Bombyx mori: one gene and its partners. The protein of the gene in region 3 interacts with the protein of the main gene of each other region in a pairwise test. Links are inferred from orthologs where the notes say so. Each region holds a gene or a part of one and is shown on either strand. Other genes may lie near its edges.

Evidence for each region.
Region 1: the proteins of general vesicular transport factor p115 (region 3) and paired box protein Pax-6 interact in a two-hybrid assay, tested with the Caenorhabditis elegans proteins (2 studies listed by BioGRID). The link is inferred for Bombyx mori from reciprocal best matches to the Caenorhabditis elegans genes uso-1 and vab-3.
Region 2: the proteins of general vesicular transport factor p115 (region 3) and RING finger protein nhl-1 interact in a two-hybrid assay, tested with the Caenorhabditis elegans proteins (2 studies listed by BioGRID). The link is inferred for Bombyx mori from reciprocal best matches to the Caenorhabditis elegans genes uso-1 and nhl-1.
Region 4: the proteins of general vesicular transport factor p115 (region 3) and centaurin-gamma-1A interact in a two-hybrid assay, tested with the Caenorhabditis elegans proteins (2 studies listed by BioGRID). The link is inferred for Bombyx mori from reciprocal best matches to the Caenorhabditis elegans genes uso-1 and cnt-2.

What each region holds. Positions count from the first base shown.
Region 1 is NC_085120.1:4,527,631-4,536,187, reverse strand, and holds the start of paired box protein Pax-6, read right to left. Parts: upstream 5,479-8,557; 5' UTR 5,088-5,478; intron 1-5,087.
Region 2 is NC_085114.1:2,555,573-2,564,011, reverse strand, and holds the start of RING finger protein nhl-1, read right to left. Parts: upstream 4,771-8,439; 5' UTR 4,542-4,770; intron 1-4,541.
Region 3 is NC_085109.1:1,631,963-1,640,550, reverse strand, and holds the start of general vesicular transport factor p115, read right to left. Parts: upstream 4,657-8,588; 5' UTR 4,498-4,656; coding exon 4,417-4,497; intron 2,763-4,416; coding exon 2,628-2,762; intron 2,559-2,627; coding exon 1,615-2,558; intron 1,261-1,614; coding exon 738-1,260; intron 186-737; coding exon 5-185; intron 1-4. Other genes in the region: uncharacterized protein LOC101741560, read left to right, coding at 5,257-5,321, 5,485-5,734, 7,457-7,670, 8,148-8,226.
Region 4 is NC_085115.1:14,999,329-15,007,765, forward strand, and holds the start of centaurin-gamma-1A, read right to left. Parts: upstream 4,463-8,437; 5' UTR 4,183-4,462; coding exon 3,987-4,182; intron 1-3,986.

The DNA of each region.
Region 1 (8,557 bases), on a different chromosome or scaffold from region 3:
ACAACAAAAGCTGACAGAACGTACAAAATAAGTATAGTTCATCATACTTGTAGAAGTGAAATAGAGAAGTGAAAGTTATTGGTACTACTGGGTCTTTTTTCATTATTATTTTTCTCGGTAAGAAAACCTTGCGTTTGTTAGTCAGGGGAGTAAATGGGTCGATGCGCTCACGGAGAAATTCGTGCTCACGGAATACCTGAGCCTAATTTTTTTTTTTTATTGTTTTTTGTGTGGACGAGCTCACAGCCCACCTGGTGTTAAGTGTATATATACACTAACACTACTACTGTAACTATACTTGAGACCTTAGAACTTATCTCAAGGTGGGTGGCGCATTTACGTTGTGGATGTCTATGGGCTCCAGTGACCACTTAACACCAGGTGGGCTGTGAGCTCGTCCACCCACCTAAGCAATAAAAAAAAAACATGCCACTAACATACCACTATACACTAATAAGTGGATGCTTGCGCCAACATACATATAACTTCGAGATGTTTTAATTATCGGTAGGCAGCGGCTTGGCTCTGCCCCTGGCATTGCTGAAGTCCATGGGCGACGGTAACCACTCACCATCAGGTGGGCCGTATGCTCGTCTGCCTACAAGGGCAATAAAAAAAAAAAAAAAATATATTGTCTGTAAATTTTTTGTTCTTTCGAGCATCGCTAATAAGTACAGAACCGATTTCAAATAAGCTTTATAAACGTTATAAATGCTTAATATTAATATTAAAATTAAACTTTCATTATATTTAGTTCGATTGCCGAGGACCGGAGATAGCGACCGAGAATCGTAACTGATCAAAGATTCGAGTGCATTGAGTGCATTATTCTTTTTTTTTGTGTAATTTAGGGCTGTCAGAACAACAGACTGCAGACTATTAAATAAACCAGTGGTCGCCCGGTAGTCGAAATTGGACTATAATTAATTAAAATTATAAGTTTGTACACTATTATGATTCTATTTGCAAAGACTATTAAACTTCTATAATCACAGTTTTCGTCAAGGCAAAAAAATAAATAGTATGCATACGCATGCACACACGCGTGTGCGTCAAATACATGGTAGTGTGAGTAATGTTTTTTTTTATTGATTTAATGTACTTTTTAGGCATAATTTTAAAAAAAAATTAACATTCTGCACTCCTTCTCTATATTCTCTATACGTGTGGGATATTTCATACTCCTCCGTCCGCGCAATTTTCGTAAAAAGGGATACAACGTTTTTCCTTCACGTATTAATATATAGATGACAATATTAAAGTTACGTCAAATTTTCCAGTCTTCAAATGCAAATCAAAAACACGCATTTCCCGGTGGTGAAGCGTCTTTTGAGCCCTCCTGGCTACACTGTCTTTTCTGCCGCGGAGCTGTAATGCATTCCGGCTTGAAGCATACGGACAATTATACCGTTATAAGATCTCATGTTTCAAAATGAGTAGCGGCATTCACGTAGTACTGTCTATGCGCTCCGGTAACCATTTAACACCAGGTGAGCCGTGAAATCGATCACCGATTTTTTTTATTTTTTTTTTAATGCTTAGATATGTGGACGAGCTCACAGCCCACCTGGTGTTAAGTGGTTACTGGAGCCCATAGACATCTACAACGTAAATGCGCCACACACCTTGAGATATAGTTCTAAGGTCTCAGTATAGTCACAACGGCTGCCCCACCCTTCAAACCGAAACGCATTACTGCTTCACGGCAGAAATAGGCGGGGCGGTGGTACCTACCCGTGCGGACTCACAAGAGGTCCTACCACCAGTAAAATTGAGGCAACAGAAAAAAAAAACGCCATCACGCTTGAATTTTACGATGTTTACACAAATGAAAATTAAAATCATTCTTGCGCTCAACCGAAATAAAATCGTACCATTGGCGTATTATGAAAATGCTACTAAAATTGTATAGTTTTCGATTGTGTTGTGTTTTCCTTTTAATAATAATAATCAGTGAATATGCCTTCAGTATTCATTTCACAGATGATTTAATATCGGATTTATATAATGAGTATGTAAACGCTTTGAACATTGGTATGTATAAACGGAAGTTTTTGTCAAACTGCTGACCTGGTTTTAATATTAAATTAATATAAAAAAAAACCTAATAATTTTGGCTCGCAATTGAATGTTTGTCCCAGAATCGAACAGTACTACAGTTTTTTTTTTAACAAACACCAACCCATGAAAATCATGTCAATGATAAACATAAAATATACGCTATAATAGTGCAGATTGATTGCACAATACGCGTGTCATATTTAATTGCAAATGTAGCGAGGTTTGGGGGAGGCCTATGTCCAGCAGGGGATCTCTTTGGGCTGATAGTAAGTAAGTGGAGACCGCGAATTGGCAAACGCAGTACAGGACGCCCTTAGGCACGGTGGAGTGATAATCTGTGCAGGGTGGAAAGAGCTGGATGAGAGAAACCAAGGATCATGCTCAGTGGCGAGCAATTGGAGAAGTCTATGTCCAGCACTGGATTGATATAGGCCGATGATGATGACGAAGTAAGACGCTCGACATTCCTATGATGTACCGGTGATTACTGCTACTCATAAACGATAAAAAGCCAAGTCAAGGCAAGATATTAATAAAATTAAAAGATCTTATTGTTATAAGCGCGGTGTCGAAAGTTCATGCGATTAAGAAATTCAATAGAACAACATCACAGAAGCGATCGACAAAAAACTGTTATAGTAACTCTTTGTTTACCAGTTAAAGAAAGTGACAATGACGCATCTCGACGCCTGTACAAGAACAATAAAGTATACAAAGTACACGTGAAAAAATTGAAAGAGGTTAATGGTTTCAAAAAGCACAATCTTCATATATCGCGTGAAGCTGAAAATAAACCCCTAATATACATAGATAATCCGGTCGAAACGAATATACCACACACCTTTATGGGTATTGACGAATTTAAGAAATTACTCACAGACAGAGCTTTGCGACATTCACCTATGCAAAGTACCAGTAAGCCCAATGTTTATAGATTGAAAAGTCTGGAAACTAAAATAACGGCTATTAATGATACCAAACACATTAAACTAATCAAGAGAAGTGAAGTAAAATCAGAAGTAACAAAAAAGGGAACACAAGCAGATAATACTAAAGAAATATTACGTAAGAATACGATAGTTATAAAAAATGTTGACGCAGCAACCGCTATCAGTATGAATGTGGTACGTCAAGAAGCCGAAATCATTACGCAAGCTCCAACAAAACCGTCAACTATCACCTCGGAGTCAACTGGGAAAACAAAAATTTATGAAGCTGTTGAGACTATAACAAATGATGAAGAAATTTCGAAAGCGCGATCAGCTGCTTCTACTACTGCTTCTACTGATATCAAAGGCTTCGATTTCACAACCGTTTCCAAAATTGCGGAGCATTCTGTAAATTCGACACCAGAAAAAGAAAATATTAGCACAAATAACATCAATTTAACAACGGTGTTTAATAATACAGTTATGCTTGAAGTTACTACAGCGAAACATTTTGATGTTAAATACAATATTACGACTTTGGAATCAACTATAGGAAAATTAAAGTCTGTGAAACGGACGACTACAAATAAACAATATAAAAGTTCCACTAGAAAAAAAACATCAAAGAGAAGTACATTATCGGTAAGTATTTGGTTTAAGGGACGATAAATTTACGCCTATAAAATATTTTAATTAAAAAAAAATTTATATATAGTAAGTATACAATACCGTTTTGATTATGTATATATGTATTCAAGTGTGTGTATCTAGCTTTGTTATTTTTTTTATTTTTACCCATGTAGCCTATAGAATAGCCCCTTACACGCTGATAGCTTAAGAGGTTATTCCAGCTACGTTTGAACATCTAGGTGAGCTCACGGGCTAAAACTGAGAGAGTTTGTTCACACTAGCCTTAACAAGATCAGTGATTCTCGGAATCTACCACCGAATCAGAATTTCTTGTTATTCGAAGCGAGATTTTTATAGCACTGTTTGGCACTTTGCTGTAAAATACTAAGCTCAGATAGGCCGTCTTCGTCATTATGAGCGTTGAAATCACGCCCTTGAATTGGACGGATTTTGAAGGTTTTTCGAAATAACCTAGTTACGGTTGTATTTTTAATGGATAATTTATAGTTTTGTCGAGAAAAAATTCGTAAATGAAGGTAATACCCAAAAGCGTTTTCGCGTAAATCGTTTCCTTACTTGCAGTCGAATAAGTGAGCAGTTTTAACTTAGTTATTCGGACAGACAGACAACCTTAGAGCCCATCTCATAAGCTGTTACCCGAACTGAGAACTTAGACAGCGTGGTTGATGTTGATAAATTCAATGACTATCAATCATTTATAACTACTCTTTATGTCACGACTTTTAGAAAACTAAAAACAAAATTAAAAGACATTAAGCATCCTAAGTACTAATATTTATTCGGCTTAGTTTTCTAACTACTAATTGTATCCGAATTTCTTTTAAATATTATTATTATTGATATAGCAATAAAACTAGTTTAATTCCCACTCACAACCCTGTTCATCTTGACCCTCCCGTGAATAATGGAATATAAAGTAAATCAATATAAATGTAATAAAATAAATCACACAAAACGAATTACGGAATCTACGGAGATTCTCGTATAGTACACTTTTTGGTTTAAATTAATTTGGTATTTTATTTGAAGCCCTAACAGTTAAATGTTCTTGTTTTGTAATTAAAAATTGTAATCTTCAACAATGGATCTACTAACAAAATGCCATAATACTATTTATGATTTTATTTCTTTCAGAGACCACTAGTTTTCATGGGGGGTTATAATTGAATATACAATTGGTTAATAATAAAGCTTGAAAATCTACAATTTTGGTAAATAGTGTTTTATTAAATTTCATATATGTTACTCATACTAAAATAAAATAGATTACTATTAAAGTTGATATGCGGTTTATCGGGTCTGAAGATTTCCGATGTGATTATTTCTTAATTTTGATAATGTAAAATTCTTTATGTCAATATATGTTGCTTAATTTTATAAGAAATCTCAGTACCAACTTTGTAAGCTTCAAGATATTTGATATTTTAAATATATTTGAACACATACCTTAACTTCTACCTAGACAAAAAATCCGAGTTATTGCAACAGCAATAACTAAAGTCTTCTTCAACTGGTCGGCATGAACATCACTTTACTAAACTAATAACGAATTAAGCAAATTATTAAGGCTTTACGATAAATAGTTCTTGTGCCCGTGAAAACTCGTAAAACGATTTTCCCGCCGAACAAAACGTCAAACTGTCAAACGCGCGAACATCGTGCCTCCAGTCCGGTATAAAGGCGCCACTTCACTGATTACAAAATAGAATCTCACGTGGACCTCCGCTGCTACGGTATACCTTATAACTATGAAGGGCCATCGAGACGACTCTATTCACGCTCACCCTGGCGAGAAAGAGATGCCATAAAGTGTCGACACCCATTGTAAGCCGCTTACTGAATTTAGGACTGCTCATTTGTGCGACAGAGACGCCTAGCTTTTTATTGTATAGTCTTAATTCACGCTCCGCCCATTCCTCATTTAACCCCACGGCGGTGGGGGAAACGGCCAGTTTTAAATTATCTATTATAATAAAATTATTTCGCGAAATAAGGGGTTGGTTATGTTAATGATGTGTTTAATTTATGTCTATGTCTTTATCTTAGAAGTGGCTGACGACAGCGTCGAGACGCGTTATTTGCGTATGAAAATTATTTTCCCTGTCACTTTAATAATGTTGATATGTTTGATGAATTATTTTGACTTGGTACTTATTATAATAATTTTAATTAAACATTCGACATAATTTTGTATTTAAGCTTGTATTAAAAATAGAGATCTAAGCCTTGTTGTTGCAATTATAGTTTTGTTTTAGTTTTATTATTATTATTATTTAGCAAGCCGATATTATAAATTAGGTAATATACACCTTACTTTTCTGTATTTTTTTCTTCGGGGCAACCCTGGTAGCGTCGGTAAGGGTGACGTCGATGAAACTCATTACAGATTTAGAGTTTTTTATAATTAAGATCGATTTTTTTAGATGGGCAAATCAACTAATCCATCCAATCTTAAGTGGTTAAGTGGTGTTGATAGGTAGTAGTTGATAGTAAGCTGAACAATATCCCGCCACTCGTCCACTTTGTAGTCGTCGTGGCCTAAAGGACAATACGTCCGGTGCATTCGTATCTAGCGATGCACCGGTGTTCGAATCCCGCAGACGGGTACCAATTTTTCTAATGAAATACGTACTTCACAAATGTTCACGATTGACTTCCAGGGTGAAGGAATAACATCGTGAAATAAAAATCAAACCAGCATAATTAAAATTTGTGTAATTACTGATTGTAAGACCTCTAGTGAATCCGCACGGATAGATACCACCGCCCTGCCTATTTCTGCCGTGAAGCAGTAATGCGTTTCGGTTTGAAGGGTAGGGCAGCCGTTGTAACTATACTGAGACCTTAGAACTTACATCTCAATGTGGTTGGCGCATTTACGTTGTAAAAGTCTTTGGGCTCCAGTAACTACTTAACACCAGGTGGGCTGTGAGCTCGTCGTCAACCTATCAAAAAAGGCAATAAAAAATCTCCATTATAGCTGTGCGTCTAAATCTTACGCGTAGAGGGCAATGCAAGAGAGGTTGCAGCCTTGACCTGGCCAGTCCTCCTTACGCGAGATCTATCGTGCGGCTTAACACTCTTAACCCTGCCCCGCACCATCACGAGCTCGATAGAAAGATCCGTGACACATATCCAGAAAAAGAGGCCAGATAAGAGCCTGCAACGTGCAGGAGAGGCGTTTCATTATTTTCATTCCTCAAGAATAGACTCGTTGTTGCGAAATCAGTCCACGATATCCGGAGTTTTTCTCCAGAATCACATTTCAAGTGGGTCTATTCTGCGTTTTCTACTATCTCCCAGTGTCTAGGTGTCTTTGGAACAAAAAAGAACATATATTTCCAAATTTAAAGAGTATAAATTGCTCGTAAATATCTACTGAAAAAAAAAAGAAAATAGATCAACGAACAATACTAAAAATATCAATTAACTGTTTTGTGTTAAAAAAATCAAAATCTTATAATTTTTCTTAACCAAAAAGAGAAAAGAAACAGCCTGTAGACAGAGGAGATAATAATACTTCATTGTTTAAAAATATAATGTTATGTAGCTGTTTATATAAAGCAAATAAAAATAATAGGTTGGGGAAAAAGTCTTTTCGCATTATAGTATGTATGAACTTGTAATAAAATCTCTTTGGCTATTTGTATCTGGCTGGTTTTGATATCATTAAAAGTTTCAATTTTAAAGAAGATAATTCCTAATTCAAACTAGGAAAATATGTGATTTTTATTATTTTTGCCTCTGGGTCTGCGGAGGGACTTCGGTTCCCTCTGTATTCTGTACCGTATGTTCCATGGGGAGTGCTCTGAGGAATTGTTCGAGATGATACCGGCATCTCGTTTTTACCATCGCACCGCCCGCCACCGGAGTAGAGTTCATCCATACTACCTGGAGCCACTGCGGTCATCCACAGTGCGTTTCCAGAGATCTTTTTTGCCACGTACCATCCGGCTATGGAATGAGCTCCCCTCCACGGTGTTTCCCGAGCGCTATGACATGTCCTTCTTCAAACGAGGCTTGTGGAGAGTATTAAGCGGTAGGCAGCGGCTTGGCTCTGCCCCTGGCATTGCTGAAGTCCATGGGCGACGGTAACCACTCACCATCAGGTGGGCCGTATGCCCGTCTGCCTACAAAGGCAAAAAAAAAAAAGGTGAATCTAATGAAGAAATTCGATACATTTAAAAATTTTACTACAAAAATGGTAAAAAGGCAACGCAAGTCGCTATTATGTACGTATGTGCTAAATTTACTAAATATTACTTAACCTCTATTTAATCATAACAAAAATAATCTATCACTTAGGGAAGACAAAAATAATTTTGCTTTATTATTCTACTTCCGAGTAGCAAATAACTACTCGGAAGTATAATTTCTACATTTGTAAGGTTTATTTTCGATTAGTTTCTAATAAATTGAAACGATACTTCAACTATCAAGGAAATAAAATGCATCAAATTAGTAAAAAAATGTAATACTTTATTATTATTATACTTTATATTTTAAGTTCTCCATTTGAGTAGTTTCCAATTCATTCCTGTAAATTTATGGAAATCCGTCACTATTTGAAATCAATTGGTTATCGGGTACAGCTCTTCCCAGATCTTGAACCTATCTTCGAAGAGGTTTTCATGGACCGAGAAAGTCTTGTCGATGCGAAGGTATTTCCTGTCGTTGGGCTTCATAGCCGGCCAAGACAGACCTGATAACTCAGGATTGTTATCCCGGGGATTCGGATCTCTGAAAAAGAGATATTAAAAAAAACATCAATTTTAATATATTTTTTTGAAATATGTAAAATTTAATCTTATCTTATACCTTTACGAGCAATTCTTGTGTATATATAATCTAAATCTCGGAAACGGCTCCAACGATTTTTATAAAATTTAGTATACAGGGGATTTCGGGGGCGATAA
Region 2 (8,439 bases), on a different chromosome or scaffold from region 3:
TAAAATTTTCATACATTCAACATTTGAGATATATATTTTTTTATTGCCCTTGTAGTCAGTCGAGCTTACGACCCACCTGATGGTGAGTGGTTACCGTCGCCCATGGACTTCAGCAAGGCCAGGGGCAGAGCCAAGCCGCTGCCTGCTTTAGAAATATTAAGAAAGTTTTTGTAAATAACAAGAATGTTCTATGTACCTATAGACTATTTAAGAAGCACCTTTCTTGATGTGGCGTTTAAAGGGTTGGGCAGTTAAACAGTAAAATGATCGACTTCATGTTGACCACGGACTCTTGACAGCGTAAGCAGCGGAAACCACTGCTGTAAGTTATTAGCCAGTACTATGGAATATAACTACTTATGTGACGTCACTTAACTAATTTTAGCCACGCAAAAATTCAAATCATTCAGTTACACGCAACATTAATAACAACACGTTTTCGCGTCTATTTCCAGCCACCTCATGTTAAGGGCGATGCGTCTGTATTTTTACGAATGAACGATTGTGAACCTTATCCGCATTGGAATAAGCTCGTCGAGACAAGGAAGAGTTTGATGCCGATCACAGACTGAACTATTTGACATTTGAGGAGTTATTCGGTTCACCGTGATTCAGTGATCACACAATCCAACCAATCGTATCGGCTAAAAATTGTCATTTAGTATTAAAGCTTATTTGCTGTTATATCCATAGAGGGTAATACCTGATCGCCGTATCTGACATCTTTGAACGAACTTTGAAGAGTCCAAAGTTGCAGGCGGCGACTTAACTGCGCCCTTGGTATTTTTGATGGCGGGCCGTATGCTCACTTGCCTTCGAAATATAAATTAACTGAACTAGAAATTAATTGTTGTGCTTTCCACAACTTTTTTTATTTCATGTGGACGAGCTCACGGCCCACCCGATGTTAAGTGGTTACTGGAGCCCGTAGATATCTACAACGTAAATGCCGCCACTTACCTTGAGATATGAGTTCTAAGGTCTCAGTATAGTTACAACGGCTGCCCTACCCTTCAAACCGAAACGCATTACTGCTTCACGGCAGAAATAGGCGGGGTGGTGGTACCTACCCGCGCGGACTCACAAGAGGTCCTACCACCACTAGTAAATTAAAGTAATTTGAAGGGTGGGTTACGACTGTTTTACATTATCGGAATATACCGCTGAACTTACAAAAGTTCGCCAAACTAAGTCTTCTCAGTCACACAAAATAAATGCATATTTATTTATTTGAATTCAGAACGTTAAATAAATTGCGAATTTCTATAATATTTTTGGAGCAAATTTAGCGATTGCTGTAAATTATTTTAAATTAATCACAAACAATTTGAATATTCAAAATTTTCGCTGGAACTTTGAATTTGGACTTCGTTTACATCAATGCTAAGTACCTCGTTTCGTATAATTTTTTCATGAAAAGTTTTAAGATTTTTTTTTTTTTACACATTTTAGTTTAAAACAATTTTTTGTTTGTTTTGTTTTTTTGTTTTAAAAAACGCAGACCGTTGTTGAACTTAAGCACATAAATGTATGAAATATTCCATTCTTAAGCGATTCTTAGATCATTCTTAAAGATTTTCTCTCGCCACCTACCACCCACTTGATGGTACTATGACAAAGAGTTTCAAGAGACGGTCATCTTCAACACAAAGAAGCAAACATACAAGCACGTATTTAAAAAAAATATTGGGCCATGAAGAATCAAAATAATCAATTTCAACTTCTAAGCATTTACCAAATTAAGTGAAGATTACTAGTGAAGCCCAATCAGGCTTGGCTTTAACTATGACTAGTAATAATTGCAAGAAATATTTTTATAGAATTTCCAAATAATGAAAAAATAAAAATAACGGCACGACAAACAAAAAATCAGACAAATCGACTGAATATTTCTCAAGCGAAAATACGTCATACGCATAGATTTTTTTTATTGATTCATATGTTATGTGTGGCAGTGTCACTACGAATATATATATTATGTAGTATAACCTTTTTGCAAGAAGTAATAAATGAAATCGGCATGTGTTTTGGAAGCCTGAGCCCAGAGTGGTTTGCGGCAGCGTTAGGCATAATACTGGTATTAAATGCAAAGGTTTGCCTTAATAGTAGGGTTAAATGAGATATTTTGTGTTTTATTTTGAATTTTAGGATGTTTCTAACAATATTCTTGGTACTAGTTCTTATTCGAAATAACCAAACTAAAATACGTTCAATTTAAATATAAGACAAATGAATAAACGAATTAACTAAAATACAAGCGAAACTTTTAAGTTGAAAGCTTATCCTACCCACAAATCTGCAAAAAGCTTCTAACTGGGAGCTTATCAATGAGTTATGAATGCTAGACTGAATAGAGATTAACTTCGTAGCTACTTCGCAGCGCCGTGATGGATGGCGTTTCGCATCCGACAAGATAACTTTTGTAGTATTTGACCCTACATTATATCGTTTGATATGTTTTAAAAGTTATATTACGTAGATTCGAAAGGGTATAAGCCGATAAGAATTCGGTGAATTTGACTTCACGCGATGGTGTAATAATATTGTAGATACAACGGGAGAGGTTCTTTAGCGATCTATTGAACTCGCGCGGGTCAGAAGTGAATGGATACAAATTATATGTATATGATCACGATCCTCATTAGTGAGGTAACGAAAAAGATAGTCTTTTTTTATTTTATTTTATTCCTTAGATGGGTGGACGAGCTCACAGCCCACCTGGTGTTAAGTGGTTACTGGAGCCCATAGACATCTACAACGTAAATGCGTCAACCACCTTGAGATATAAGTTTTAAGATCTCAGTATAGTTACAACGGCTGCCCTACCCTTCAGACCGAAACGCATTACTGCTTCACGGCAGAAAAAGAGAGGGCCGTGGTACCTACCCAGAAATAGACAGGACGGTAAATTATTCGTCTTAAGTCTTTCGTCTTCTTCTTAGTCTTTCTAAAGCGAGTTAATTCGTTTTGGAAGTTAAGGTATCCGGTCACTATTTTGAGCCCAGTGAAAGAGAAACTCATCTGTTTGTTAAATGAAAAAAAATAACGAGAAAGGGGCGTGAAAATTAACATCTAATATATAAAATTCTCGTGTCACAATGTTCGTTCCCATACTCCTCCGAAACCGCTTGACCGATTCTCATGAAATTTTTTATGCATATTCAGTAAGCCTGAGAATCGGCTACTATCTATTTTTCATACCCTTAAGTGATTAGGGTTGTCCACCCCTAACATTTTTTTTTTATTTGGACTTTTTTTTGTTATAATGAGGTATTATGTGATTGAATGAGGTTTTCTTATTTTTATTATATATTCCCTCTTCGTTCACAGCACTACATACCTCTTTCACTCATTTACCACATCCTTACACACTTACAATAAGTTAGTTTTTTTTTCTACACTAGAAATTCCCTAGAAATCTTATATATGGCAAAACAATGTTTGCCGGGTCAGCTAGTCTCTATATATAAAAATGAATTGCTGCTCGTTAGTCTCGCTAAAACTCGAAAACGGATGGACCGATTTGGCTAATTTTGATCTTGAATTATTTGTGGAAGTCCAGAGAATGTTTAAAAGGTAGATAAATATGAAAATGCTCGGAATTAAATTAAAATAACAATTTTGTTTCCCCTTTGATGTCCCCCGTCGGACGGATTCTTTTGTTAGTTTTAAGTTTAATTTATACAATAGTTTAGGTCTTTTATTTATCGATTGAGGCACTACGAAGTCTGCCAGGTCAGCTAGTTACAATTAAAAAATTTGATTGTCGCTTTCACGCAGACGTAAATTAAAATTCACAAAAAGCTAACACGAAAATCTAATTCAACCTTCGCCCTCAAAAATCAGTATGCCTTTATAAGTATGAGAACTCCCGAAAATAGGTCACACGTTGAAAAGGGCGCATGCTTCGTGTCTGAATTAATTTTTAGGGTCCAAAAGATTTATTTAATTCCCTTTGAGAGTTAATTTTCGTTTTCGCTCCGGAGGTCTTAATTAGGTTTTTTTTAATGCTTCGACGATTTTTAGTAAATAATGTTTACGGTTTCAATGTTCAGTGCGAAATGTTTCTCACCTAATTCCCTGTTTAATTCTTACGTCAAACATTGATGGTAAAACACCATTTTATTTTGATACGTGAACTAGAGGTGCATGAGTAAATGGGAGGGCTCTGAGAAATTGTTCGTGTTGATCCCTTCATGCACCTCCTGAGATCGGAGCAGAGTTCATCCTTACTATCTGGAAACGCCGCGTTCATACGTAGTGCTATACCAGATATTTTTTGCGAAGCACCATCCAGCTTTGGGATCAACTCCCATGCACGGTGTGTCCTGAATGCTATGACACGACCATCTTCAAACAGAGTTTGTCATTATTGACATCCACAAGTGACAGTAATCATTCACCATCAAATGGGCCGAATACTCGATCGTCTGCCCACAAAGGGAATAAGCAAACATGTAAATAAAATATTGAACTATATTACGATTTACTCGCTAGAGTAATTTCCTAAGCCATAGACATAATGCAAAGCCGTCACTAACCTTCAGATATGAATTCCAAGTCTCAATTGTATTATAATACGGCTATACAATCTTCCAAACAGACTTGCCCGGGACACCGGTGCGTCGAGGATATCCTTGCTGTGTTGGGTGCTGTGCGGTCAGTGATCCTACGCGAGTGTGTTTCTATCTGCCGTCACGGTAACGTTCCCAGCAGCACAGACGAGGGACCCGGGAACGTGTGAGTAGATCGACACTCTCAAATCCTAACATTTGTTAATTGCGGGTAGGTGCCGTTCATACCTGTAAAGCTGCGTGCTCACTTTATTCTGAGATTTTTTTTATTTATTGCTTAGATGGGTGGACGATCTCACAGCCCACCTGGTCTTAAGTGGTTACTGGAGCTCATAGACATCCACAACGTAAATGCGCAACCCACCTTGAGATATAAGTTCTAAGGTCTCAAGAATAGTTACAACGGCTGCCCCGCCCTTCAAACCGAAACGCATCACTGCTGCACGGCAGAAATAGGCAGGGTAGTGGCACCCGCGCGGACTCACAAGAGGTCCTACCACCAGTAAACTCACAAGAAGTCCTACCACCAGTAAAATTGAGTTACGTTAGCGTCACTGAGTCTGGCCACCAGCGTCCGTTCCCAGTCCTCCCCTACCCTTCGGGGTTAGGAGGGGCTGAATTCTAAGCCCGAACTGGCAGTCCGATCGGTATAGGCTAGAGTACATGGGTGTAGGTGCCTTAGTTAGCTAGTTTAGATTAGTGTAGATAATAGTTTTTAGTTAGTTTAGTTACCACCCCCGTAGTCTCAATTTAACCTAGTTCTGATAAATTATAATAATAAAAATTTCAATTAAAATTAATTCACTTTAAATTATTAGTCTGCTCCTAGCTTTACAACAATCCCTTATCGCATCACCTGTTTTGTCACATCTATAGCCAATAGGAATCGTTGTTTTATTTTAAATCGAAATAAAACACATTCCTTCTTCCAAATTACAGAATTCCGCCATATCTACCCTCTTTTACTTTAATATTTTTAAATTTCAATACATCTATATATTAAATACGCGAAGCAAAAACTTCGTATCCCTTTTTACGAAAATTGCGCGGACGGAGGAGTATGGAATTTTGCCACACTTATAGAGAATATAGAGAAGAAGTGCACAATGCTAATATTTTTTTGAAATAATGCATAAAAGATACATTAAATCAATAAAGAAAACATTACACCCACTACATACCGTGTATTTGACGCACACACGCATGCATACTATTTATTGTCAAACTTTTGTTCTTGACGTCTGTTGTCAATTTGAGATTAAATTAATATTGTTTGTCTTTGTTAATGTTTTTTATAGTGTAGTCTTGGCGAAATTTGTGATTATAGAAGTATAAAATACAATCATAATAGTGTACAAACTTACAATTCCAATTAATTATAGTCAAATTTCGACTACTGCGGGACCTCTAGTTTCATTTTAATTTAGCTACGTAATCCGACTGACGACAGCCCATAGATTGTAAGCTTAACTTTACGTTTTATACTTAGTAAAGGGTGTTTCAGAATGTTTTTCGTTTTTGAATTGATTACTCGTTACTGACATATTATGATCCGGACTTTTTTGGCTACAGAAATGCAAAACCATTATGGCTACAACCGCAACACCTTTTTCCAGCAAGATGGAGCCAATTCTCATATTACAAATGACTCATTAGCTGCTCTTCAAGATTATTCCCTGGAAGAGTACCACCGCCCTTCCTATTTCTACCGTGAAGCAGTAATGCGTTTCGGTTTGAAGGGTGGGCAGCCGTTGTAACTATACTTGGCATCTTAGAACTTATATCTCAAGGTGGGTGGCGCATTTACGTTGTAGATGTCCATGGGCTCCTGTAACCACTGAACACCAGGTGGGCTGTGAGCTCGTCCACCTATCTAAGCAATAAAAAAAATAGTGATAAGTCGCCGAGGAGACATCAACTGGCCACCGAGGAGCCCTGATTTAACGCCTGCTGATTTTTTCCTATGGGGCTACCTAAAAAGTAAAGTTTACAATCTATTGCCACCAAACCTGAATGTTTTGAAGCAAAGAATCACGGAAGAAATCAACTCTTATTCCAAGAGCGATGCTCCAACGAGCGATTGTAAATTTTAGCTCCAGGTTAAATGAGTGCGAACAAGTAAATGGTGCGCATTTGTGGTTTTTCATACGGTTGTATTTTTTTTTTTTTCATAAGTAAATTTCAAGAACTGTTCTTTAATTTAACAATAAATAAAACGAGTTTTAATAAATATTATTGTTTTTTATTTAACATCTAAAAACGAAAAACATTCTGAGACACCCGTTAGTTATTGATTGTATTTATAAGCTTGAGGGTAGACATTATCTTGTTGAACACCAAGTAGAACGAAGTCACTTTTTGATTCCTGATTTAATCAACAATATGTTATCTTAACAATTCACTTTAACACTTGTCCAACCTTAACCAGTACGTACAACAGTCACTGTATCACACAACGTAACAAGGATATAGTAAGTGCACCGGGCAAACGCAGTCCAACGAATGTCCATTGCGAGGCACGTACCGCCTTTTTATACTGGCCGGCGCAGCTGGCTTATTTATGAGTCACTTCTGTTGCACCTGTTGTTTACGAGTCGAACGACACGGCCGGCGCACCTGGCTTGTGTGAGTCACTCCTATTGCACGTGCTTAACAGAAATATCGTTAACGCCGTCATATTTATTTATATCTTTAGTGACCGATGTATCTTATTGTTGTTTGTTTGTCTTGTTTGTTCGTGAAAGAGCTGATGTTAAGTTAATAATATCAGTAATTTCCAAATTGTTCTTTGTTTGTTGAAAGAGGGCCTGCGCAGTGTCACCGCTGCTAGGCCTTTGGTCATGCCTCCACCAACTGCCACCGTGCGGTCCGCTGTATACGATGTGCCGGAGAGCACGTGGTAGTGAACTGCCCGAGGCCGAGTGACGGCCCATTTACGTGTGCCAACTGCGGCAAGGACCACGCAGCCGTCGACCGACGGTGCGCGATCTACCGTAGGAATGTCAAGTCGATGGGGTTAACCGTTCCCCCTCCGATACCACTGGTTCTCCAACCAAGGAACACCCCAGCTCCTACTTCTATTCCCACTTCCGCACTCCCAACAACCTCTAAGGAGAAGGGAAAGTTTTCCCTTCCTCCGCCCCGACCCCCACATACTACCATGCACGTGGAGGCCGAAGCCACAGCGGCAACGCTAATGGCCGAAGTCAATCCACCACGTACATTGAGGGCTCCTCATCCCATTCCTCGCGTCGCATTCGCCCCAGCCCCCACTATCACAAACCTGCCAGGCATCGGTAAAAGCAAAAAAAAAAAAAAAAGGCCTTAAGAGCACAGGCTGCATTCGTTGTAGCAGCCCACTCCAGCTCACAACCTTTAACTTCAGCCCCTCAGACAATGGAGACTGAGGCGATGGAGATAAGGGAATCAACCTCCCCTAGACGTCCACTAATTATGGAAGGCCCACAAGCCTCAGCGGGTCCCAATCAGACTTGTCCTCCGCAACCACCCCACCCACAGAGCCAGCGGCGTAGCGGCCGCCAGGACTCGCATCCTGGCGGTTTCGCTGCCTAGCTGCTGACCTTGTGGGAGACGTCGTCCGAGGTGATCTCCGGAGTGATCGTCTTCCGGTACGCGGTCACCACTCAAGAACTTTCTGGCCACAACGGCCATCCGTTTCACGAACAATGTGCCCTGCCCACCGTTACTTCAAGGTCGCAATCCTTTGGGCTATGTCGGCTACCATAGTTTTCCTGCGGATCTCCTCATTTCTGATCTGAGCATAACCCTCTCCATTACTTTTTGGGTGATTTTGAGCCTTCTCATGTAAGGAGGGTCTTACATGAAACTAGTGTTTTACACTAAC
Region 3 (8,588 bases):
TGACTCTCGTGTTCCCGGTACAAGTTGCAGAACTCGTAGTCGAGCGAGAGCAGGTGCGGCTGCGCCACGACGGGCTGCGGCTGCTTGGAGGCGGCGCTGTAGGGCTCCAGCCGCGACACGCTCGACAGCCGCGACACGAACGCCTCCAGACCGATGCGCTTCACGATCACCTGCTTCAGCGCCTCCTGCAACCGCGCACGTCACACTTGTACTACAGACACGGCTCAAGCACCGGTCATCGCTCTCGTCGAATCCGTCGCTGGCGACGAAAGGCTAAATGGAATGACTAAGGAGTACACAGGACACATCCCACTGAGTTTCTCGCCGGATCTTCTCGGTGGGTCGCTTTCCGATCCGGTGGTAGATTCTGCGAAGCACGGCTCTTGCTAGGGTTCGTGTTAGCAACGTCGTCAGGTTTGAGCCCCGTAAGCTCACCTACTGGTTAAGGTTACGCTGAAATAGCCTCTCAAGGCTATCAGCTTAGGTAGGAATAAAAAAAGAAAGGCACGGCAAGTCGCGCATCCTGATTAACGATCCCAAGTTTCAACCTACTTGTTCAAAACCAATCTATCTGAATCTATTTGAGTTTTTACCCCGGCAACACGGGTCGCGATTTGACAGTGCCTAGGCTGCCACGAGGGCGCTGGGTTCGGATTGAACACCATTGTTACACACAGGTAAACAGTCATGCAAGGCATGCATGGCAAGTTTTAAATCTGTAAATGAAAAAAAGAGACCTTGGTGTATTCGGGTACGGAGTCATCATTGTAGTGGTAGAGCAGCGCCAGCAGGAAGGCAGCTAGCCCCGAGAGCAGCGGGTCGTCCGTGTCGGCGGCCTGCGACACCGCCCAGCCCACGGCGCCCCCGCCCCCCAGCAGCGCGGCGGCCGCGGCCGGGCAGCCCGCCGCCCAGTGCGACAGCAGCATGAGCAGCGCCACCTGCGCCCGCGCGTCCGCCGCGCGCTGCAGCAGGCGCCCGCACTGCGACACCAGCGACTCGGGGGCGCCGCCGCCCGCCGCCGCCACCACCACGCGCAGCAGCCGCCGCTTCTGCTCGGGGTTGTCCCGCAGCGCGTGGGACAGCGCCACGGCCGCGAACCAGTTGGCGGCGGCGTCGCGCGAGAACAGCCCGCCGCACAGCAGCTGCCCGGCCGTGAGCCGCGCCGCCTCGCCCGCCGTCGGCAGCAGCGTCGACACCAGCGCCGCCTGCTGGCTCTCGTTCCGGTACAGGAAGCACTCGAAACAGTACAGCACCGCACATCTGCCCGTCAAATATTATTACTATTAGGCTCCATTTTTTTATATATTTGAAATGCTTCATCTGACGTATTTTAGCGTACATACATATAAAATTTACACATAAAGAAATATGCGTAGATAACGTGTGTGCGAGTTCATAAGCTTTAGCACCATTTTCACTGGGAACAACTTTACCTGAGCACATGAAGAAGTTTGTTTATTTATTGATTAATGTTTATAACTGCATTGCTTGGACGGCGGTCCTCGAGAGCATGGGCGACCTAATGGATGCTTCTGCATATACATCGTCAGCGCAACCACGACCACTCTAACAAGTGTCTGACTGAAGATAAGTGTATTGTTTATAAAACTTTACCTAAGTTGGAATGGCTGTTTCTCGTTGAGCATACACATGAGCAGGACGAGAAGAGTGGGTCGAGGCGGGTCGGAGGGCGCGGTGACCTGCGCGAGGTAGTCCTGCGACTCGGGCTCGGCGCGCACCGCGTCGGCCACCGCCAGGATGGTGTCGGCAAGCACGGCGGCCGGCACTCCGCTCGACATGAGCACGCCGCACAGCGCCGCCAGCACGCCGCCCGCCCGCACCGCGCGTCGACAGCCGCCCGCGCCCGCGCCCTGCCCGCCCACCAGAGCGCGCACCACCAGCAGCGTGACCTGCACGTTGGCCACGCGCTGCGCCGCCCACCCGGCCTCCTCGGCCTCGTCGTCGCGCGTCGCCAGCAGTGGTAGCAGACGCTGCACGTAGCTACCCTCTTTGAAGAAGTTCACATTGCTGCTGTTGTTCTTCAGCAGATTCAACATCAGTAACAGACAGTCTTCTACGATGATACCGCCCTCGGCGTGTCCTTCGCTCGCAATTATCTCAAACAATCGGTCGAATGTATTCTCGAACGCTACTATTTTCTGTATGTTGGCATTGCCCTTTGTCAGTTTTATTAAAAGCAACAATGTTTCGTTTCTTACGACTTCCCGGGTGTCTCCGAGGAGGTCTATCATCTTGGATACTCCCATTGGTTTGACTAGAATGATCTCTTGGATGTCACGGGTCCTGTTCGTGAGCATGAAAGTAAGTAGCTGTACGGCTGAGAGTCGCACGCGAAAGTCGTATTCGTCAAGAAGATCTAACACAAGCTGCACATTCTGTGGATCTTTAATGAACATTTCAGTGAACTGTTCCCCGATGTTACAAGGAACTTGGTGGTTGTCCTCTTCAACTTTGAAAAGAGTTGGAGACATAATATTTTTAAGGGTGTCAAGTGCGTAGTGTATCGTCTCATTGTCTGCTCTGTCTAATTCTAGTACCTGGGAAATTTAAGTAGCTATTAAATAATAATCAAGAATGAGATTTATGACCCACACACCAGTACTAACCTGACGGAGAGCATCCATGGCCTGGGCACCGACTTCAATGCGGTAGTTCTGCGAGAGTGCTTTGAGCGCACGGCAGCTGTCTCTGCGGTCTTGAAGCAGTGTAGAATTCGTAACGCGCTCCACTAGTCGCTCGACCTGTCCCACCAATGCCGTGTATTTCATTATTGCGTTTCTTAACCTATTAGTCTATTTTAAATTATAGTAAATCCTTAAAGAGCAAACCAAAGATTATTATGTAAACAAATACAAATTGCCAAAATTCAACTTTACTGATGAATTACTTAACTGGGAACCGTGAACAAATCATGCGCGGTCATTCTGCCTAAAATTAGGATTCCCTGTGCTATGGGTAGCAGAGACTGACATGTGTACATATACATGTCAAGATAACAGCATAAATAGTTATAATAATTTTATGCTTGACAAGTTATAATAACATATGAGTAGACAATTTGTTAAATTAAAATTACAATTGTTAAATAATGTCTTATCATTTCCTGCAAATTTTGTATTTTAATTGATGGAGTGGGAGTCTTAGCTTCAAGACACAATCTCCTAAAGTTAACATTATTAGTTAAATATTTAAATATTTTATGCTATAGTACAATGCTATAGGCAAAAAAATAAGTACATTCAGTAATACTTACTAAGCACTAGTAAAACTAAAAATTAGCATATTTTTTAAGGTTATGAACCTCAATAACAAGATTCTTTACGACTTGATCTACCTACAGAGACTTTGCTATTTTGCTGTCTTATATTTTGGTTAATAGCCAGACAGTTTTTCATTTGGTCCGTATACTACTATTAAAAGTATTATGGTTTCTAGAAAAAATATATTCTTATTGTGGTTTTTATTCCATATTGCTATATATATTCCAAATTTGCAAACTTGCAGCCTCTTGAAAATGTCTGAAGTCACATCACATTTTTAAAAATTGTACCATGATATAGTATTGTCATCAGTTTTTGCAAATCATAAACATATATTTTTTATTGCTTAAATACTCTTTTTATTGCTCACAAGAGGTCCTACTGCCAGTTTAATTAAAATAGCTTTTACAGTGTAATCTCACATTTACTATTCTGTTTTGCACTACGTACACAGACAGGCCGCTTAGCCTCATGTGGTTATTGTCAAAGACACTATATTATTATTTTTAATCAATTTCAATACTATTTTCTGCAAAATCTAGTAGCTCTTAGATTGACAGATAATTCTCTGCAACCTGCTCATTAAGAAAGCTTATTATAAAAAATGCTCATTATTAATTACGATAGCCGATGTTTTTACTAAATGTAAGGGCACTGTTCTCTGAGCCAAAAATAAAGTAAACTATAGTAGTAATCACACATCTACAGAGGTAGTTAAAAACGAAAACTGATCTTGATTTGCTGAATATAAATACTTTGTGTTCATATACAACATATAGCTGACGGCCTGCCCACAAGTCATGGAAACAATGCCTCCTCAGATTTATTTGATTGGAATGTCATCTAGTAAGATATAGTGAATAGTGCTGAATATATGAAATTATGGTGGCTTAAAGGAATGATCATCAGTTCAGTACAAAACGTAGCTCCGTAGGCGTGGTATTAGTCTGTGAGTGCATGAGAGATAAGATTTTGATTAATTTACAAATTAATTTAATAATTATATTTTATCTCAAATCTTTCAAATTGCTTGATGCTATAAAAGTCTAGTTTACATGAACAGTACTTGATTGGTATCTATAAATAGCCCGAGAGTAGACTATTATTCTAGAAATCTTATTAATAAAATGATCACCGTTTCAGCTGGAGACGGTGCGGCAGTGCCGACCTCTGGAGACCCCAGAACAGTCTTAATACCGCTTTTGAGGAAATCCATTTTTTTTACGTGCGTTGCTATACACTTTATACCTCTAGAAAGTAATTATAATAGAACTCATGTTTTATCACTTGTTATTTTTCGTGAAATTATGTTCAAGTCCTTTCCATAAATAAAAGACACGTCAAACCTTCAAACGAATTTGACAGTTGGTGACCGGTGCAATGCTGCCAGATGCTTATAGACAATTCTCCTACGACAAATTCAAAACCTACTAAATTCAAAATATTCATTTTTATCAAAATTTCCTAAGTTTTGTATTGCGTAAGTATATACCTAGGTACTCGCCGGGCCCCAAAGACATCACGACGTGAACGTCATCAATCACACTGAAACATGAGGTCGTAACCTCAAACGATGGCTAAAATGTTGGTCGTCGACATTTCATTATTGTACCAACTAAAAGGGTAACGCTTGAATAGGTATTGTATTAACTAAAATATTCATGATCATGAAAGCTAAACTAATAGCTGGACATGGCTTCTCGACTTCTTCCAAAACATTAATTGAACTCTTAATTAATTTTAACCAGTTTCCTGAGAGGCACTACCTACTTAACTTATTTTCATCAATTCCATTTGATTTAATATTTTGTTTCATTCTTTGACCTTTGATAAAGTAAGCATGCCTGTATAGACTACATTCCCTTCGTCTGCCTAATTGACTAATAAAACAGAAAAAAGTTAAACGTTACAAATTTACAAACAGTCCCTCAGTTTTTTTAATTATTTATTTTGATTATTACGTACAACATCGACAATGTCTACTGATTTAAACTCCAGTTTCACAGAACAATACATGAACATCAATACAAAAATGAAAAAGTAAATATATATTTTTTCTTATTGTAAATAATGTATTTCATAGCTTTAAAAAACTAAAAATGAAAATATTTTTTTAACATACTTTTTAACATATTATGACTAATATTTACAACTTGCGTTCAATCTAAAGCAAAAATGAAATATAATTACGTTGAATTTTCAGGCGTTTCATGCGGAAGCCAAATGTTTCTGAAGCAACAAATGAGTTTATAGCACTAGCGATACAATGTGAACATTCTGAACAGCCAACGTTTGCAGGGCATTCTTATGTGGGCGCTGCGAAATGCGAGGCCTCGGTGGGAAATTTCCTTGGTGAAGCAGAGCACTATATCTCTGCAGCCAGACAATTCATTAAAGCTGAGATGAAACTGAAGTCAATGAAATTCTACAGTCCCGAAAGAGAGAATTTAGAAGTAAGATGCTGGATTGAAATATCTTAAAGCAACATTTTCTTGCTTAGCCAACAATACTGTGCGAGATACATTTTCTTCATTTTCAACTAAGATTTAAAATTGAATCCTTTCATAAATAGCTATTGTGGCATATCATATACATATTATAGGTATCTTTAGCTAAGCAATGAATTGTAGTATTAGCAGCATTGTTCATGAAGTATACTGTTGTGAAAGAGATTATTTGTTGATTGTAAACCTTTGATTAATCTCACTTCTCTGGTTAGAGCAGAGTGTGATGATTATCTTATCCATAATTTACAAGTTTATGTAAAAACAAATTGATTTTTGAAATGGAAGATGTATCTACGTAATACTTTTATATTGATAATAAGCCTAGGCAACCCTCAAAGAATGAGTACTATTTGTTCTGGTTTTTCATGCATAATTAAAAGTAGTATAGAGCAATCCTGCCAAATCTTAACCATTTGAGACTGAGGTCTGCCAAAACCCTAAATCATACAAAAAACATTAGGTATATGTATAATATATTAAACATGATTTTTAAAGTAATTGATCAAATTAATGTGTTTGTGTTCTTACGGCCTGGCCACGGGGATCGACGGTGCGAACAGCGAAGCGGTGGACGAGGCGACCATTCGCGCAGCACCGTTTGCAGGCCACGGGTACTCACGTTCGCTGCCGCGACTAGTAAGGAAGTCCGATAGCGAAATGTCTATATCGAAATTATCTCGATATTGCTTACAAATTAATAGTTTTTTGGTTCAGGACCTATTATTTGGAAAAGATTGTAAAGTACATGATTTGAATAAGAATCAGAGTATACCTATAGATGGAGAATTCCACAAGAAGTACGAGAAACACTTTGGGTGGCTAGACTTCCAAATAGCAGGTCTAGCTAGTATTTCAGCTATATATTTTTTTATTGCTTAGATGGGTGGATGAGCACACAGTCCACCTTGTGTTAAGTGGTTACTGAAGCCCATAGACATCTACAACGTAAATGCGCCACCCACCTTGAGATATAAGTTCTAAGGTCTCAAGTATAGTTACAACGGCTGCCCCACCCTTCAAACCGAAACGCATTACTACTTCACGGCAGAAACAGGCAGGGTGGTGGTACCCACCCGCGCGGACTCACAAGAGGTCCTACCACTCCTACCCCCAGTAATTACGCAAATTATAATTTAGAGGGTTTCATTTTTATTACACGATGTTATTCCTTCACCGTGGAAATCAATCGTGAACATTAAAATTTGTTGAGTACGTATTTCATTACAAAAATTGGTACCCGCCTGATATTCGACTACCGGTGCATCGCTCAACACCGGACTCTTATCCGTTCGGCCACGACGAGTTTAAAAATATAAAAATTTTTTTAAAAAAAATATAAAATATAAAAATTTCGGCGTTCATTTTTCGCGGCGAAAACAACTAAACTCATTTAATCACTGCACTATTCGCCGCGACTACCGCTCGACTCCGTGGCTTGCGCCGTCCTTATTCATGCATTTGTTTTGCTCGCCCGCCACATCGTAAGTCGCCCGCGCGATTCGTTCGGTACATTCCACCGGTCGCTTCGCCGGTCGCCGGTGCGCGTGGCTTGTTAGGTACATTTCTATGTTCTTATTTTAGTCGCTAGACGCTTCGCCGTTCGCACCGCGCGAATATTCGTATCGGCGAATGTCCCGTGGCCAGGCTGTTACACTTCTGAATTTCCAGGCTGGTATAGGATGTTTTCTACAAGCACTGAACAAATATCCAGAAAAGTCACCCATTCGCACATCACTACTGATGGAATTAGCTAGCAACCTGTCCACCCTGGGACATAAAGCGGAGGCTATATCATACTACCAACAAGCACTGGATACTGTTGTGGATTATACTATGAAGTTGATGGCATTGTGGAATTTAATGATTTTACAGATTGACAGTGGTAAAATACAGTAAATCAGTTTATACTTTTAAATTTTTTCAGTCATACTTCAGATAATAATAATAATAACAACTAGGGGGACAGAGACTGATATATACTTGTATCGATTTAAAAATATGCATATGTATATAGATATTAAACAACCGGACAAAGGGCAATCAATTCTGTCAATTATAGGACTGTTTGTTAGATGTGAGAATTGAATTCACAACCATCAGCCCAGCAATCAGAAGCACTTATTACTGCACCAACGAGACACTTCATATGGATTTTTCGTCATGAGCATTGTCATAGATTCTGTAATATGTATATATCATCAGCCTTTATATCTTCACAGCTGGTCCTATATGTCTGTCAAGATTTCTCACAATTACCTGCTGCTTTGGCCCCATGCAAAAGATCCTCTTTAATAGGTTGTTGGTCCGCTTTGCAAGAAACAATCTACAAGAAATACATCTTTTTAAAATATTGTTACAGAAAAGTTCAGCATGGCACTTGAAACTTCAAACACAATATGTGACTCCAAACTGAATATTCCTGAAGACCTCCTCACAGAGTAAGTAATAATAATTATAATATAAAACAAAACTTTATTTAAAAGTTAGTTTGCACTATAATGTATTTGTTTATAAATTTCTTATGTAGAAAGTATTATTTAAACTTTTTATAATTGTAGATAGGCAGATGAGATTCCAGCCTATCTTATAAGAAACAGCTACTGCTTTTTAAAGAAACCAATATTGTCTAAACTAGTTCACCACTGTCAGTTATAAAACAAATCAGATGAAAGTCAGAAAAAGATGCGCCTAACACATTATGAAATGTTCTTGAGTGAAGTGAAGTTGTTGAGTAGGTATTCTTATGTGGTATAAGTAGTAGTGATAAACTAGTCAACAAAACAATCTATTAAGTAAAATA
Region 4 (8,437 bases), on a different chromosome or scaffold from region 3:
TGCCAATCACTTTATTATGGAAGAAGTTTACCCGCATCTTCAAAAGTAAGATAGGTCCTTATTTTTGAAATAACGGCTATTATACCCTTTCTATCAGAATTAAGGGATAGTTCGCGGCTGAAATTTGTAGATCCATGGTACTTACCTCTAATATAGGTCGTATAGGAAAGATCATTCTTATTCTATAACCATCCAGCTATTCTATCAATAGATTTGTTTATGGTCAGGCGTTGTTATTACGCCGGTTGTAAATTCTTATAAGTAATCTGTATATTATTGTGTCGATTTCAATTAGTTGGCTTAAACAGATGGCATGTTGTTTATTTTTTTATGAATGAGGGATTACTGGTGGCCCAGAGGCATTTCCAGTTTCATCAGGACAAGTGAGTGAGCAAAGGCTCAGTCAGGAGGCGATTTGCTAACAGCCAACACCTCCAAAGGAGACCTAATAACTCAAGGACAGTTGCTTCGCGAATTAATCTGCTACCGCATCGGAATCGCGACCCGCTTAGAAGATCTAGCCAGAAACTCATCGGGCTGATGTTTAGGATAAGTTGCACGTCTAACTTTTTTAGGGTTACCGGGGTCCCTAAGTCTGCTCCTAGTGTTAGAGCTGAAGGCGTCGAGGAAGTGTCGTGAGTTAGTACCTACTCTAATGAAATCCATAAGTCTATACTGTTTTTAATACGCTTTTATTAGCTTCAGACGTGTAAAAATAGTGTAAGAAAAAATGATTTTATTGTAAAAAAGCGTGGGGTGCTTTTCAGGATATTATCAAAATAACCCTTCTACTCATATCTGTTCATAGAATATTTATAACTAAGTACTGATACGATGCACCCCACGCGTATTATTTTTTTACAATAAAATCATGTTTTCTTACACTATTTTTAATTCAAATTTATTAAGATTTATTTTCTATTTTTTAGTGGGATTTTCTATAAAAGCGTATTTTTTTAGTTTTTTTAAACTATTATTTATTTCTAATGGAATACCTATTGTAGCCCATGTTCACGAACGACTTCTAGAAAAAACAATTTTCGTAATTACTCGTATTAGGGCTATCTGAGTCTGCACGGGTAGGTAGATAGGTACATCCACCCACCCTATTTCCGCGGCGAAGCATCAATGCGTTCCGGTTTCAAAGGTGAGAGAACTACCGTTGTGTTTTGTAATTGGCATTTACCATTTTGTTTTGGAATTTTTGATTGAAAAACCATTACGAGGAAGAGGCTAGCTGATTACTGAAAACGAATTAGGTATTCACGAAGAACAATCTTTAAATACTAATAATTTTAATCTGTTTTACCTGTGTGTCCTCAAATGGCTTCATTCAAACAGATAATTTAGTCTACATTTTCATATATTCTGTGTACTCGAATGTAAAGTTATTTTTTTTAAGTGATTTTATGACCTGGTAACTAAGACCTTTAAGTCATGTCTTATTTTAATTTATATTCTTATTTTTATGAAAAATTATAAATGGAGTGAAATGAAATGAAAATGATTAATTTGAGACGTTAATCAACTGGGATGAAATTAAATGAAATGAGATGATATGGAATGAAATTATAATCTTAGTAAAACGGTGGTCATTTACTAAGATTTTTTCAGTGGACTTTTTGGAGGATCCCAAGAAGTTACGTCCAGCGGCTTTGTTTCATTTTCCCACATTTGTGCACTTTCATAGATATTAAACAGTTAATAAACCACCGTTATTACACATTTAAACCCGAAGAAACACTAAATAGACAAAATAAAACAAATCACACAACTTCACTCCTCGCGTGAAAGGCTCCATTTTTTAATGCCACTGATGATGGTAATATTTCCAATTTATTATTTAAAAAAAAATTGTGTAAATTAAAAAATGTATATTATTAAATCAATGCCCATTGAGACTTATCGATGGTGACGCAAAGTGGTACTCAACACTTCGACAAGACATTGACATTGTCATATCTTTGGGTTCAGGGAACTAATGAGTCCGTTTACGCCTGAAAAAATATTTAAATCCGTTATTTCATAAGCAGGGTCGAGGAGAAATAAAAAAGCAAATGAATCTTAACTTTTTAATAGCTAGTTTCATTAGAATTTTGCGTGAATTGTAATGATTCGGGTAAAGCTTCTGGTAAATATACTTTGAGAAGCGCTTTCGATTGGCTCATTCAATATTCAGACACAAGATTTCGAGACTGGTCAAAGTGACGGCATAATGACTGTCGTGGTTACAAATATGATCAAATCTTGTGAACTCAGAGGTATGTAAATTCTTTGGCATATCCTTCGAAGTAAACAAGATATGCCTTAATATTTTTTCTTATTTATAACACTGTGTTTATGGTAAAATTCCAGAAATATGCTTCCCACTTCCAAACTCTGGTATTCTTCGATCTACGAAAACAAATTAAATTTCCTGAATGAAACAAAACGTATTAGGTTGAAAAGGAAATGATTTAATTATTTCTTTACAAGAGAGGAGAGTAAAATATTTTCTGTACATTTTTTTATATTTTATACCCGATTCCGACGACGCCAAATAGCATCATACTTCTTTCTGTATATAGCCGATTAGTTTTAAGGTTATTTGCATCCACGGAGTAGATAAATAAGGTTTGCATCTATGCGACTTTCTTATTGAAGTAGAAGGTTGTCGGAGAGCACCGTGATACACGAGTTCGAAATGTCTGGCTAATGGCCGCCCTTAGAATTGGTAAGCACGATTAGTTGGCGCCAAAAATAGTAGGACGAGCTGACAACTTTTTTTATTGCTTACCTCGATGACCCACTTGGTGTCAAATGATTACCGAAGCGCAAAAGCATCAATAACGTAAAAGCCGCCACCCGTCTTGAGACATGAATTTTAAGGTCTCAGTATAGATACAACGGCTGCCCCCCAAACCTTCAAACCGAAACGCATTACTGCTTCCAGCAGAAATAGGCAGGGTGGTGGTACCTACCCGTGCGGACTTACAAGACGTCCTTACCACCAGTAACTACGCAAATATCACGTTTACGGTTTTTTTTATTGCACCATATTAATCCTTAATGGTGGAAGTCATTAGTGAAAGTCAGTTAAATACCATTTAAAAAAATTATACCTGGATATGAACACCGACCCAGTTGCATCGCTCAACACGAATGAACCGAGCGTCTTATCCTTAGACCACCACGACTTCAAAACATATCCCAGCTAGTTACAGTATCCCAGTCATTACCGAAATTCAAAATTCTGTGACCTAGAATTTATTGCACAAAATAATTTATAACCGCATTACGTCAACGTGTCAGATTTCAATTTTAAAATGTAATCTCTAGTATTGATCGTGTTCATTTTGGCTTCGTGATGGCAAACGGTCACTGCGAAATCATAAAGCGGTTTATAATTTCACGCGACTATCAACCATCCTAGTGTCCACTCAAAATCTTTGATATTAATAATTTAAATGACCCTAACCTTTCGAAAAATAAATGGATTAAACTGTTTTGCAAATCTAGGTTTCATATACAATTAAATTTTACAAACATTTCGTAAAATATAATGGTGATAATTAAGTAAAAAAATATTATAAGCGATTGAAATTGATTGTACGAGTAATTTAATATTGTCATTTAAAATAATTTTTATTTTTAACTTTAAAATTTAATATTTTTGTTTATTATTTAAGTGCACAATATTCTTAAATCGAAAATTTAAATAGCATCATCACAAACAGATCCGTATTCGATTTGGCGTACTAACAGTTGACTTTTTAACGACCTACAGTTTTATTAATGTTAATAATTGTTAACACAACATTAGTTTGTTATCATTGATAACTTGTCAACAGTTTGTAACATGCTAGTGGCCGTCTGCAATTTCTACAACTTGTTCTAACAATATAGGTTATCCAGCATGCCTTATCTAAATAAACAACAATATCGTCTCCCTAGAAACCGATGATGTTCTTTTCAACTAAACAAAAAGCATAATTTACACTACGTACCTTCAATGGCAACGACGTGATCTCTTATCTGCTGAGCGAGCAGTGGATCAGGCACCAACTCGACCAGATCGTAAAGCGCGTATATCGATGGATGTACACTTTCAAACCGCTGTATCTCTTGTCGTATCGACAAAGATGTATTCAGGCAAGCCTGAGAATGCTGCCGGCTGCACATATTACCCCTGTAGCCGAACATTTATCCAGATAAATGTGTACGTACAAACACTCCACGACACTAAAAATGCATTCTCGGTTTACGCTCTACGTGAGCAATCCACCGGTCATTTTTGATCATTAACTTAACAATGCACTTGAATACACGTTAGTGTGGTTCGTTACAAGAAGAAGACACTGTCAACACAAAACACTATTGGTATCAGTTAGAATGAACATGTAAATAAACAATCTACACGCTTTCGAACACCGACATAAACACACCGCCTCATCGGCAGCCATTACCGGACTGTCGCGTTTTTGCCCAGCCAGGAATGGACGGGGTTGCCCATTTAATAAAATTTTCCGAAACTAAACATGTAAATTACAAAATTTGTATGCACTATTGTGTGAACTAGTCAACTAGCTTATGTATTCAAGTCAAATTTTCTGTACATTACAGTGATAGTTTTTTGATCATATTGAAAAAAAAAACTAACTGAATATTATTATGCACGACAATTGCCTATTTAGGTAATATTTCCAAATTGTTATTGTTTTACAAAGCAAAGTTTGATTTGATACAAAACAAATTAATTTAGGTCATCATAAAATATGTAATAATTGAAATAAAAAAATAAACGACTTCAACTAGATTTATTTTATGATTTATTTAAACCATACCTTTTTGTTTATTTTCTAAATGATAAAAGTCTTGTCAAAAGTTTGATTTGATTTTAAAGTATAAAAAGATCTTGTTTACATAGTTTCAAATATTAATAGTGAAAGGCAAGAGTTTAGCTGTGTTTTTCTGAGTGATAGTAACCACTTTCCACAAGTGGGTCGTTAACCGATAACGGATGATATCAAATTTTATTACAAACAAAAAACATATCAACGTGATTATTATTTCTAATGATCTTTTTTGTTGTTGTTGTGATGGCGATAAATTTTAAATGACAGAGAAATTTCAAAGGCTGGTAGCACTAATTCAGTGCATGATTCAAAGACGAACAGAGATTTTTAATTTAGCGACATCTATTGGATTTTATATAAACTTCTACGTTGCAAAGCTATTGGTGTGACATTTTTAGTTTTCTAAAATTGTACCAGGGTGCGGTATTTTAAATAAAAGTAATGTTTAAATTATCCCTAAAAATGTTATTAAATAATAAAACCTAAGGACTCGTTCAGTAATTATCGAAAAACTTGTTTTTTTTTTAAATTGAAGAGTGCAGCATATACGTCACACTAAGTGTATTTAGTTAAGACTACTGCAGTAAGCTACGAGTGAGCATGAAAGGACCTTTTGGCAGGAACCTGAAGAGTGAAATTGTGTTATTGTTTTGTTTTGTTAATTTAGCGTTTTTAAGCTATTGCATAGCTTTTATCGCGGGCCTTGAGCGCGGCGACCGAATCATGAAATTCCGTAACGAAAAAAATCTAACACCCCTCACTCCGCCTACCATGTAGCTCGCGTTCAACACATTCACACGTTGCGCTTGTGTAGTATTTGTGAATAAGCGCGTGGCGTGACGTCACACTGCATTCGCATCATGAAAAGTCTGCCCATCTCTCTCTCGCGCGGTCTAGCTTCTGAGTGTGAAGGGGACAGTTAAGGTTTTGCCTTTATTAATGTTTAATATAGTGTGGTCTTATTTTTATTATTGTTTTAATATTAAATTATTATTGTCTAATTGTAATTGCATAAGTTGATAAAAAATGCTATGCAATAGCTTTACCGCGGCAGTTCCCGAGTGCCACACGTTTTTTTTTATGTTTAAAGTTTGATGATGGTGACCTATAAATTTTTCTAATACATGGTGACATCTAAATTATTGGGAAAATTTAACACAGGCATTGGACGCAGCGTCTCGGTCTTCTCCAAATATTACATTCAAGTTTCAGTAAATAACCACCATTGTACTGAGCCTTTATTCCATCCCATCTCATTTCGTTTCATTTGACATAAGATGGAAATCTCATCTTGTTTTATTTAATTTCATGACAATTTCTTGCGGTCTCAAATGAATTAACTCTTTTATTTATTTTTATTGCTTAGATAGGTGGACGAGCTCACAGTCCACCTGGTGTTAAGTGATTACTGGAACCCATAGACATCTACAACGTAAATGCGCTACCCACCTTGAGATATAAGTTCTAAGGTCTCAGTATACTTAGTCTGGCCATAAATACTGTTACAAAGGAAAACAAAAAAAAAATCTATGGCAAATAACATTTATTACTTTTACAGTGTGTTAGTTTAATACATAAATATAAAACAATTTAAAGTATAAAAAGCTTATTCGAAGTGGTCTCCATTGGCTGCAAAACAGTCCTTTAAACGTTGAGGCCAGTTATCAATAGATGCACGCTCTCTTTCCATGGGAAAATTTTTAACTGCCAATCGTACGGATTGTTTTAGGAACTCCAAATTATCAAGGCGTTTAGAGCAAGCCGTTCTCTCTAAAACTGACAATAAATCATAATCCAGCGGATTAAGATCGGGACTAGACGACGGCCAGTCTTCAGCTCTGATAAAGTCCGAAACGTTCGTTTCCAACCAAAACTGCGTGGACCGAGCTTTATGATCTGGCGCCGAGTCTTGCTGGAAGGAACATTCTTGATTATTGAACATGGTGTTGTTAAGGGGCTTCACTACCTTCTCAAGAATGGTATCTTAATACACTTGTGCCGATGTTTTGATACCTTTTTCGCAAAAGTATGGCCCAATCACTCCTTCATAGCTAATACCCCACCAAACCATCACTGAAGTCGGATAGTGCCCACGTTGCACTCTGTCGACTAATTGGGAAGCTTCCTTAGAGCTTTGAGCATAAATACGGTCATTTTGTTTGTTAAAATGTTGCTCAATTGTAAAAAATTTCTCATCCATAATCAAAATTTTTGTATGACCTCCCTTTGCGTACCGCTTCAGTAGTTATTTCGATTTTACCACCCTATTCTCTTTTAAATTATCAGTTAAGAAATGACCAGTACGTCTCTTATAGGCTGCAAGTCCTAAGTCATCTTTTAAAATACGCGACATGGTTCTAGGTGCTATCTTCATCTCCCGAGATAAAATCTTTTGCTTTCGGACAGGATTTCTTCGAATTTTTTCACTTACTGCTTTGCCCACCTTTTTCGTACGAACACTACATGGACGGCCAGATCTTTTTCTGTCACAAACAGAGGAGGTCTCATTGCACCTATTAATAGCCCGGTACACAAACATTTTACTAATATCAAGCGTATGGAGAGTTTTAAAAATTGCATTTGGCTCCATACCTACTTTGTGAAATACAATCACAGCGATTCGGTTCTCTTTATCACCCCACTCCATTTTAATATCGTAAAATATTGTACAATGTATTGGCGCCAAAATGAAAAAACTCAATGAGCAATCATATAAAAATTACAGATTCCAAATTCAAATGTAATATTTTGTTTATTTTAATTGTAACAGTATTTATGGCCAGACTAAGTAATTACAACGGCTGCTTCACCCTTCAAACCGAAACGTGTTACTGCTTCACGGCAGAAATAGGCAGGGTGGTGGTACCTACCCGTCCGGACTCACAAGAGGTCCTACCAACAGTAATAACGCAAATTATAATTTTGTAGGTTTGATTTTTATTACACGATGTTATTCCTTCACCGTGGAAGTCAATCATTAGAATTAGAAAAATTGGTACCCGCCTGCGGGATTCGAACTTCGGTGCATCGCTACATACGAATGCATCGGACGTCTTATCCTTTAGGCCACGACGACTTTAACTTTAAATCATTTCGCTATAAATCATTTATAAATAGCTTAATTATGGTATTTATTTTATGAAGATTTTTATAAATTCGGCACTGGCAACAATCGCAAAAAGCCAACTGCCATACTTAAAAAAGAAGAAGAAGAGCAATGAACGTAATCATCCAGCGATTGTTGTTATCTACTTCTTCTGTACACTTGAAAATATCATCTTCTCAATCTGTCTCGAACCTACAATCTCAAGTCATATTGCCACTCAGCTGTAGCACTATGAGAGCGATTTCGATACAACTAGAGGTCCCGCAGTAGTCGAAATTCGACTATAATTAATTGGAATTGTAAGCTTGTACACTATTATGATTGTATTTTATACTTCTATAATCACAAATTTCGCCAAGACTACACTATAAAAATATTAACAAAGACAAACAATATTTAATCTCAATTTGACAACAGACGTCAAGAACAAAAGTTTGACAATAAATATTATGCATGCGTGTGTGCGTCAAATACATGGTATGTAGTGTGTGTAATG